2 linked regions of the Macaca mulatta genome follow. The protein of the gene in region 2 purifies or fractionates together with the protein of the main gene of each other region. This does not show direct contact. Links are inferred from orthologs where the notes say so. Each region holds a gene or a part of one and is shown on either strand. Other genes may lie near its edges.

Region 1 (5,341 bases), on a different chromosome or scaffold from region 2:
AAGCTCCACCTCTCGGGTTTACGCCATTCTCCTGCCTCAGCCTCCCGAGTAGCTGGGACTACAGGTGCCCGCCACTTCGCCCGGCTAGTTTTTTGTATTTTTTAGTAGAGACGGGTTTTCACCGTATTAGCCAGGATGGTCTCGATCTCCTGACCTCGTGATCCGCCCATCTCGGCCTCCCAAAGTGCTGGGATTACAGGCGCCCATCACGAAGTCCGGCTAATTTTTTTTTTTTTTTTTTTTGGTCACCCAGACTTGAGTGCAGTGGCACGATCTCGGCCGACTGCAACCTCTGCCTCCTGGGTTCAAACGATTCTCTTGCCTCAGGTGTCCGCCACCACGCCCAGCTAATTTTGTAATTTTAGTGGAGATAGGGTTTCTCCCTGTTGGTCAGGCTGATCTCGAACTCCCAACCTCAGGTGATCCACCCACCTCGACCTCCCAAAGTGCTGGGATTACAGGCGTGAGCCACCGCGCCCGGCCTAAATTTTGTATGTTTAGTAGAGATGGGGGTTTCCCCATATTGGCCACGCTGGTCTCGAACTCCTGAACTTGTGATCCACCCGCCTCGGCTTCCCAAAGTTTGGGGATTACAGGCGTGAGGCACCGCACCCTGCCCAAGCCCGGCTAATTTTTAAAATATTTTTAGTAGTGACGAGGTTTCATCATATTGGCCAGGCTGGTCTTGAACACCTGACCTCCAGTGATCCGCCCATCTCGGGCTGCCGAAGTGCTGGGATTAGAGGCTTGAGCCACCTCAAGCCTCTAATCCTTCAGGAGCATCGATTTTGTCCCCGTGCCTCTTTTTTTTTTTTTTTTTTTTTTTTGAGACGGAGTCTCGCTCTGTCGCCCAGGCTGGAGTGCAGTGGCACAATCTCGGCTCACTGCAAGCTCCGCCTCCCGGGTTCACGCCATTCTCCGGCCTCAGCCTCCCGAGTAGCTGGGACTACAGGCGCCCGCCACTGCGCCCGGCTAATTTTTTATATTTTTAGTAGAGACGGGGTTTCACCATGGTCTCGATCTCCTGACCTTGTGATCCGCCCGCCTCAGCCTTCCAAAGTGCTGGGATTACAGGCGTGAGCCACCGCGCCCGGCCTCCCCGTGCCTCTTGTGTGTGTTCTAGTGTGGGAGTGACGGCGACTGCTTTCCAGCACAAGCCCATTTGACTGGGTTTGGACAAGTGGCTGCTACGACACTAAGGTGGAGATAAGGATGGAGCGAGGACTCCCAGAGTTGGGAAAGCTTGCAGGCTTACTGGGACCTCAGTCCGGCACAAGTTCCCACCCAGGTGCCGCCGCCCCAGCCTACGCACGCGCAGTCGCACCGTCTCTGGCCAAGGGTTCCTCCTGCCCCGCCCGCCCTCTCCGGGGGCCTTCTCTCCGCTCGGCACCAGGGTGTCCGCGGCGCCGCCTGATCCCGTTAGCGCGGTACTGTGAGTGCAGTCCGTCCTCGGCGCTGTTTTCCCTGACTTGCTGTCGACGCCAGGAAGGAAGGACGCGCGCAGAGGACCGCAGAGGGGTGGCCGTGGCTGAGGGAAGAGAGCGCCGCAGCACTGAAGGTTTGGGCTTGCAGGCGCTGCAGGAGGCGCCCAGGCGGGGTCCTGTCTCTCAGCCAGCTCTGAGCGGGAGGCCTGAGCCGGAAGCATTGACGTCCCGGCGACTTCCCAGAGCCTGGGGTTCGGCGCTATGGAGGAGCTCGATGGCGAGCCAGCAGTCACTGTAAGGGCACCCCGAACAGGCTTGATCGTCCTTGTGGGTTGAGAACTGCGTCTGCTTCGTTACTTCAGGCTTGTCTGCTTCCCTACTGGCTGCGAGGCTCTCGTCCCCTTCCCTTGATTCAGTTGCCACTTTCCGGAGGTCGCAGTGTTAACTAGGTGCCCGACCTCGGGTCGTAGTGGTCGCGGGGTTTCTGCCACCAGTCACAAAGCCAGGCCTCGAAGGTCCCAGTCCGTCCCTTTCCTTCTTTTGTCTTGCTGACCTTTCTACTTCCCTCGCATTTCCTCTTGGGTATTAGAGTGGGTTCAGCCCAAGCAGAGGAATTTATGTTTTTCTTCCAGCCATATTAAGCTCTGCATCGCGGCACGTTGAGTTCTGCTTGTGTGACCTAAGGTTTATTAAACGTATTATCTCAGGAGACTATTCATATTTTATCGCTGTGCATTCAATTCCATTTGAACTTTGAAGAGAGTATGTCAACTGTGGATGATCTGTGATGTGTATAAAAAAAATTCATGGACTTTATGTGCGACATACCTACCGTTTCTGCTACTTGGAATGCTTTTGTTTTCCCTCTTTCTCTTGTTAACCGCTGACTGAGGCAGGTCTCAACCGATGAAGGTTTATTTAGCTAAGGTTGAGGATCCAACCGGGAAAAAACACAGGTCCCAGGAGGATCTGAGACTTGTGCTTTTTCCAGAGATGGTTTTGGGAACATCAGTAGTTAAAGAGGAAGGAACTAGCAGGAGGGGCAAAAAAGGGAGGTTAGGCAGTGAAGAGGCAAATGGTTACATTCTTGTGAGTCTCTGATTAGCCTCAGTAAATCTGCATTTTACCTGTGAAAAGAGGGAGTAGAGGAAAAATTTATGTATGCATTCATCTCAGGGTAGGTAGAGGGATGGTTTCATTTCTTTTTTTTTTTTTTTCTGAGACGGAGTCTCGCTCTGTTGCCCAGGCTGGAGTGCAGTGGCGCCCCTCTGGGCTCACTGCAAGCTCGGCCTCCTGGGTTCACACCATTCTCCTGCCTCAGCCTCCCCCAGTAGTTGGGACTACAGGCGCCCACCACCACGCCCGGCTAATTTTGTTTTGTATTTTTAGTAGAGACGGGATTTCACCGTGTTAGCCAGGATGGTCTGGATCTCCTGACCTCGTGATTTGCCCACCTCGGCCTCCCAAAGTGCTGGGATTACAAGTGTGAGCCACTGCGGCTGGCCTCTTTCTTTTTTTGAGACGGAGTCTCACTTTGTCACCAAGGGTGGAGTGCAGTGGCGCCATCTCAGCTCACTGCAACCTCTGGCTCCCAGGTTCAAGCGATTCTTCTACCTCACCCTCCTGAGTAGCTGAGATTACAGGTGCGTGCCACCACACCCAGCTAATTTTTATATTTTTGGTAGAGATGGGGTTTCACCATCTTGGTCAGGCTGGTCTTGAACTCCTGACCTCGTGATCCGCCTACCTCAGCCTCCCAAAGTGTTGGGATTACAGGCGTGAGCCACCACACCTGGCTAGGAGTTCGAGACCAGCCTGGCCAACATGGCGAAACCCCGTCTCTACTAAAAAAAATACAAAAATTAACCTAGCGTGGTGGCGCATGCCTGTAATCCCACCTACTCAAGAAGCTGAGGCAGGAGAATCGCTTGAACACAGGAGGCAGAGGTTGCAGTGAGCGGAGATCGTGAGATCGCGTCACTGCACTCCAGCCTGGGCAACAAGAGTTCGAACTCCTGGCCGGGCGCGGTGGCTCAAGCCTGTAATCCCAGCACTTTGGGAGGCCGAGACGGGCGGATCACAAGGTCAGGAGATCGAGACCATCCTGGCTAACACGGCGAAACCCCGTCTCTACTAAAAACACAAAAAATTAGCCGGGCGAGGTGGCGGCGCCTGTGGTCCCAGCTACTCGGGAGGCTGAGGCAGGAGAATGGCGGGAACCCGGGAGGCGGAGCTTGCAGTGAGCTGAGATCTGGCCACTGCACTCCAGCCTGGGCGACAGAGCGAGACTCCGTCTCAAAAAAAAAAAAAAAAAAAAAAAAAGAGTTCGAACTCCTGACCTCAGATGATCTGCCCACCTCAGCCTCCCAAAGTGCTGGGATTACAGGTGGGAGCCACTGTGCCCAGCACAAAATGAATTTTTCTTACTAGTGTTATAAGAAAATGTTATTGAAGGATACAATGTTATTACAGGACCAGCTGTGCTCTTCACTTAAAGTGTTTTTCAGCCAGGCCGGCATGGTGGAAAGTGTTTTTCAGCCAGGCGGGCACGGTGGCTCACGCCTGTAGTCCTAGCACTTTGGGAGGCTGAGGCGGGTGGATCACCTGAGCTCGGGAGTTTGTAACCAGCCTGGGCAATATGGTGAAACTCCATTTCTACTAAAAATGAAAAAAAAAAAAAAGCCGGGTATGGTTGCACACATCTATAGTCCCAGCTACTCAGGAGGTTGAGGCAGTAGAAGACCTTGAACCCAGGAGGCGGAGATTGGAGTGAGCTGAGATTGTGCCACTGTACACCAGGCTGGGAGACAGAGTGAGTCGTTGTCTCAAAAAAAAAAAAAAAAAAAAAGAATAGAACGACTTCAGTAAGAAGAACATTCTTCATTTTAGATTTCTATGTCTTATTTTACTAGGTGATTCCAGGTGTGAATTCCAAGAAGAACCAAATGTGTTTTGACTGGGGTCCAGGGGAGATGCTGGTGTGTGAAACCTCCTTCAGCAAAAAAGGTAGGGGTTTTTTTTGTTCCAAATTGTCCATCTTGGTACATCTGGTTGTTTTTCTGTTTATTACCTCAGATTTGACTAGTTGTGGACTGAAACAATTGAATTTGTTTTGTACCATTTTAATTTTCTTTATTTTGTTTTCAAGATACAACAGGGTTTTGTTGTGTCACCCAGGCTGGAGTACAGTGCGATCATGGCTCACTGCAGCCTCTACCTCCTGGGCTCAAGTGATCCTCCACCTCAGTCTTCCTGGTAGCTGAGACTACAGGTCACCGTGCCCCCATACCCAGCTAATTTTTTTTTTTTTTTTTGTAGAGATGGGAGTCTCGTTTTGTTGCCTAGGCTGGTCTCACACTTCTGACCTCGAGTGATCCTGCTGCATTTTGGCATTTTTATTTTTGAAATGTTAGCTATTTTAGATTTTCATTGATTTTTGAGATCTTGAAGATGTTGAATCCTGGAAAAAAATTAACAGTAGTTTTCATGAAAAATTTTCTTCATATTTAAAATGTCAAGCTTTTTATCTGTTTTTCTTTGTCCAAAGTGACCAAATTCCTCAGTAGCTTCCTTATTGTGAACCTTGCAGATGCTTGGCCATCACTTTTGTGTCCACAGCATGGATTCAGCTGAATAATAGTTCTGTAGGCTGAGCTAGCATCCAAAGCACAGATGGAGCTGGAGAGTGACATAGCTTGTCCTTGGCTTGATTTTCTAAGTTCCATCAGCTATTGGATAGGATGTGAATCTTTTTCTTTTCCTGATACAGTCTCCCTCCAGTAGCAGGATAAAACTGGAATCTTGACATTTGATTTGTTTTCTTTCTTTCCCTTCCTTCCGTCCGTCCGTCCGTCCGTCCGTCCGTCCGTCCGTCCGTCCATCCATCCATCCTTCCTAGATGGAGTCTCACTCTGTCC
Region 2 (4,724 bases):
TGAGGATTAAAAAACAATTCTAGGACCTCGCATTTAATGTTTCTATAAAATTACTTCTTTAATAACAGCTTATTTTTAGCATATTCTATTTTTTTTTCTGCCTCTGATTTTATATGTAAACAAATCAACTAAGTTTTCTTGTCATTAATATCTTGCCAGTAAGGTAAGAACCAAAATGTTTGTTTATCAGGGATCATTTATAAAAAATTGCCAGTTCTTAATACAATGAATTAGTGCTTTCATTTTCTCCCTTGAATTTGTCATAGGCTTCTAGTTATAGTCATCATCATGGAAATGTTTTCAAAATTTGTTAATTTTGGACATTAACAAATTAGGCCAGGTGTGGTGTCTCATGCCTGTAATCCCATCACTTTGGGAGGCTGAGGTGGGTGGATCACCTGAGGTCAGGGGTTCGAGACCAGCCTGGCCAACATGGTGAAACCCTGTCTCTACTAAAAATACAAAAAAATTAGCTGGGTGTGGTGGCATGCGCCTGTAATCGCAGCTACTCAGGAGGCTGAGGCAGGAGAATCGCTTGAACCTGGGAGGCGGAGGTTGCAGTGAGCCAAGATTGCACCACTGCACTCCAGCCTGGGCAACAGAGTGGGACTCTGTCTCAAATAAATAAATAAATAAATTTTTTAAAAATAAGCAAGTTAACAAAATATATGTCTAATTGATGTTTATAAACTTTGTAACATTTTGCTAATCATCTCATGGGTAGATTTTTAGAAAGAAAATAGGTGAATTATTTTATCATTTTTATGAAATGTACAAAAATGAATTTAAAAAATCATACAAACAAATATTTTTGTTTTACTTTTTGTTAAATGTAATCTTAAATTTAACTTTCAGTCTGAAGACCTGATTTTGTGTCGGTTGACGGTCCCAAACTTTTCAAACCAGACTGCCTATCTGTATAACGAAAGTGCTGTCTATGTGTGCTCCACAGGAACTGGGAAATTTTCTCTTCCCCAGGAGAAAATTGTCTTTAATGCACAAGGTATGGTAGCAGTTTTAGAAAGCATGATTGGTGAGCTCATTAGTCATTCTGAGTGCTTTTTTTCTCTTTTCCTGAGTGTCACTTCAAGCATGCTGCCCTCAAATGTTACTCTGAGACATTTCATACCACAACTACAGCAGCTGAAGTGACAACCCTACTAAGAAACCAAAAGGGTACTAGAATTTCCAAACTATTATATTTACAGGCAAAAATAGTAACATTTGTTCCAGGAGAAGATGCCAAGAAGCAAAGAACTAATGCCAAGAGAAGTAATTGCTCATTCCTAGTTAGTAAAAGTGACTTATTCTGAGTTGATGCTCTTTAACTTTTCCACACCCCTGGATAAGAGCCTCAGGTGCTGGACTCGTGCAGGGGGGCCAGTCAGGATTGAAGAGAAACCAAGCAGATACTTAGCTGAAGGGGTTGAGCAGAGGACAGAGTCCAGGTAGGCAACAGCATAGAACCCAGGTTTAACAGCATGGAACCCAGGTTTTCTAGTCCCAGCACAAGAACCTTGATGGAGGGTGGGTAGGCTGTTACTAAGGCGCAAGGTAGGCTTAGACTTTTTTATTTTTTTTTCAGTCCCCGTTGACTGATGTGGTAAGTTAAAGTCAGAATTAAGCAAGAGAACTCCACAGGATTGAAAAAGCTCTTCTAAGTTTTGCAGAATGAATAATTTTTTTTTTTTTTTGGCTTACTAGATTGCTCTCTGGCAAGGCTAGTTTTTGTTGTCTTTAAAGCTGAAAGACACAGAGCCTGCTTCTTCAAACAGCAGCCGGTTCTTAACATTTGATTCTGGGATTTAAAGGATGAGTTTGAAGTAGGAATAATACTGTAAAGGAAAAAATGTGCTTAATATATCATCAAGATGATTTTCTGCCCAGGGTGGTAGGTTTTACAAAGCATTTTGTTGTTCTTGTTAAATGTATTTGACTCTATGTTTTTCTTTCTTTTAGGAGATAGTGTTTTAGGTGCTGGTGCCTGTGGTGGTGTTCCTATCATTTTTTCTAGAAACAGTGGACTGGTGTCTATTACTTCACGGGAAAATGTGTCCATATTGGCAGAAGACCTGGAAGAGTCCTTAGCATCTTCATTTGCTGGACCAAACAATGAGGTAATGTGATTCTATAAGATTTTGAAGTTTGTATGTTATTTATTTTTTAGAGATAGGGTCTCACGCTGTCACCCAGGCTAGAGTGCAGTGGCACAATCATAGTTCACTGCAGCCTCTAACTCCTGGCCTCAAGCAATCGTCCTGCCTCAGACTTCCCAGTAGGTGCCTGGCTAATTTTGGTTTGGTTTGGTTTGGTTTTTGAGACAGAGTCTCACTCTGTTGCCCAGGCTAGAGTGCAGTGGCATAATCATAGCTTACTGCAGCCTCACCTCAACCTCCCGGGATCAAGCAGTCCTCCCCTCTTAGCCTCCCAAATAGCTGGAACTACAGACATGCACCATCTCACCTAATTTTTTATTTTTTGTAGAGACAGGATCTCCCTATGCTGCCTAACCTGGTCTCAAACTCCTGGGCTCAAGCATCCTCCTGCCTCAGCCTCCCAAAGTGCTGGGATTACTGGCATGGAGCCACCATGCCCAGCCTAATTTTTATTTTTATCAGATTATTTTATACAAATGGTCTCAACACTGAGACAGTTTCAAAGACTTAACAATGCAGACATTAGTTCTTCTTGTCTTCCTCATCCCCTCTGTCCTCTTTGCCTGAAGCAACTACGTTTAAGCCTTTTAGTGATTTATTCTGGTATTTTTCTCCATATATCTAAGTAATGTACATATATTCCTGTCTCCTGATTCATCTGTTGATTTTCTACTATAGAAAATGAGGTTTTGGGTTACCTTATACTCCTTCCTCTGCCTTTATCATTCTAACATACATTTTTTCCATTGTAATGACAATGTGAATATTGTTTATGGTTTGCTGAGCCAAATACTGATTACATTTCCTTTATTATACAACTTTGTGTGACTCTTGGAGTGTATCATGACCTCATTTTATATTTTCTCACTTTCCTTTCATATGTGACTTAATCTTTTTACACACTCCGGGAGTTCTGTAGAGTGCCCCTCAGTGTGGTTTTTCCCAAAGTCAAGTCTCCACAAACCTTCCATCTGCACAGCTGTCATCCCGGAACTTCTCTCTTCCACGGTCCTCAAATCCTTGGGAGCTGTCCCTGCACCATGCATAGGTGGCCTCATTTCCTGTCAGTGCTGCCATTTCCTGTTCCTTCTGCTTTCTGTCTTCCTTTGTTGTAGTTAGAATCACAGATATTTCCATGAAACTTGTATTTCTGTTTCTTTTTATTCTGGGATGATTTTTTTGAGAGGAATAGCCAGGTAAAAATTACCAATTTTTTTTCCTGTTGTCTTGAAACCTGAAATATCCCATCCATGAGGTTTTTATCATTCTTTTACAGAAGACTAAAAATAATTAATACTGTTTGGGGTAATTTCCATTTGAATAGTGTATGAAATATATAGACTACCTCTATAATTCAAAATTAAAATGATTGAGTCTAGTTTTAAAGGAAAGTAACAATTTTTTACTTTTTTTTCTTTTCACAAAAAGGATTAATACTTTGGTTATTTTGTAATTGTATGGTTATTGTAATACTGTTACACATTCTGAAGCAATTTTAGTGTTCCTTTTCTTTAAAATTTTTCTAAATCCTTGTTTAAATTTGTAATCAACCATTATGCTTAGGTAGTATACACGGTGGTGAGTCGTGTAAGAGCAAACCTATAAAAAGATTCTGTTAATTGTGATGAAATCTCCAAATTGTTTTACTTACAGCATAATCCCCGAATTACCTGTACCTTTTCTGTATGACTGGTTGATCATTTGGTGCTATTTATAGTGTTTCAATAAGTATATGAATGACTGGTATAGACCAAGCTTGGTCAACCCACGACCCATGGGCTGCATGTGGACCAGGATGGCTTTGAATGCAGCCCAGCACAAATTTGTAAACTTTCTTGAAACATGAATTTTTTTTTAAAACTCATCAGCTATCATTAATGTTAGTGTATTTTATGTGTGGGCCAAGACAATTCTTCCAATGTGGCCCAGGGAAGCCGAAAGATTGCATACCCCTGGTACAGACAATATGGCAAACCGCTTGTGTATATGCAGAGTTGCTGTCATAGGATGGGTACAGTTTTTAGTCCAATAATTAAGAATATTCAGATGCCTTTACCTCTAAACTATACTTTGTTATTTTGCAGAGTATGATTTTTGAGACCACTACAAAGAATGAAACTATAGCCCAGGAAGATAAAATCAAGTTGCTGAAAGCTGCCTTTCTGCAATACTGCAGGTATAACATGTTTTTTAAGTTATGGATTATTTTATGTGTGAGGACATGTTTTACTGACATGTGCTACTTATTTATTGACTGGTGGGAGCAAGTTGGAGGAATGATGCTATCAAGAGGAGAATTTTTTTTGAGCTTTAGCACTTTAATAGACTGTTCTTCTGAATTTAGTAGCCATGGGAGGTTTCCAGCTAGCTAGGCTAGGGGAAAAAACATGGGATCTAACATACTCTCTCCACTTCATGAAAAACAACGTACCATTAAAAATGGTGATCATGAAGACATCTTGCAGGCGTCTTTTATGAATAATGTTAAGGTGCAAATAAGTTGCTTACAAAGTTTTCTTTTTTTTTTTCTTTTTTTTTTTTTGAGACACAATCTCACTCTGTCACCCA

The links. The genes of interacting proteins can lie anywhere in the genome.
Region 1: the proteins of NUP133 (region 2) and NUP85 purify together in Homo sapiens (affinity purification with mass spectrometry; 5 studies listed by BioGRID and IntAct, with this or other methods). This does not show direct contact. The link is inferred for Macaca mulatta from reciprocal best matches to the Homo sapiens genes NUP133 and NUP85.

The regions. Positions count from the first base shown.
Region 1 is NC_133421.1:84,893,839-84,899,179, forward strand, and holds the start of NUP85 (nuclear pore complex protein Nup85), read left to right. Parts: upstream 1-1,643; 5' UTR 1,644-1,685; coding exon 1,686-1,718; intron 1,719-4,336; coding exon 4,337-4,430; intron 4,431-5,341. UniProt on the Homo sapiens protein: Essential component of the nuclear pore complex (NPC) that seems to be required for NPC assembly and maintenance. As part of the NPC Nup107-160 subcomplex plays a role in RNA export and in tethering NUP96/Nup98 and NUP153 to the nucleus.
Region 2 is NC_133406.1:19,558,410-19,563,133, forward strand, and holds part of NUP133 (nuclear pore complex protein Nup133), read left to right. Parts: intron 1-855; coding exon 856-1,003; intron 1,004-1,959; coding exon 1,960-2,117; intron 2,118-4,240; coding exon 4,241-4,332; intron 4,333-4,724. UniProt on the Homo sapiens protein: Involved in poly(A)+ RNA transport. Involved in nephrogenesis.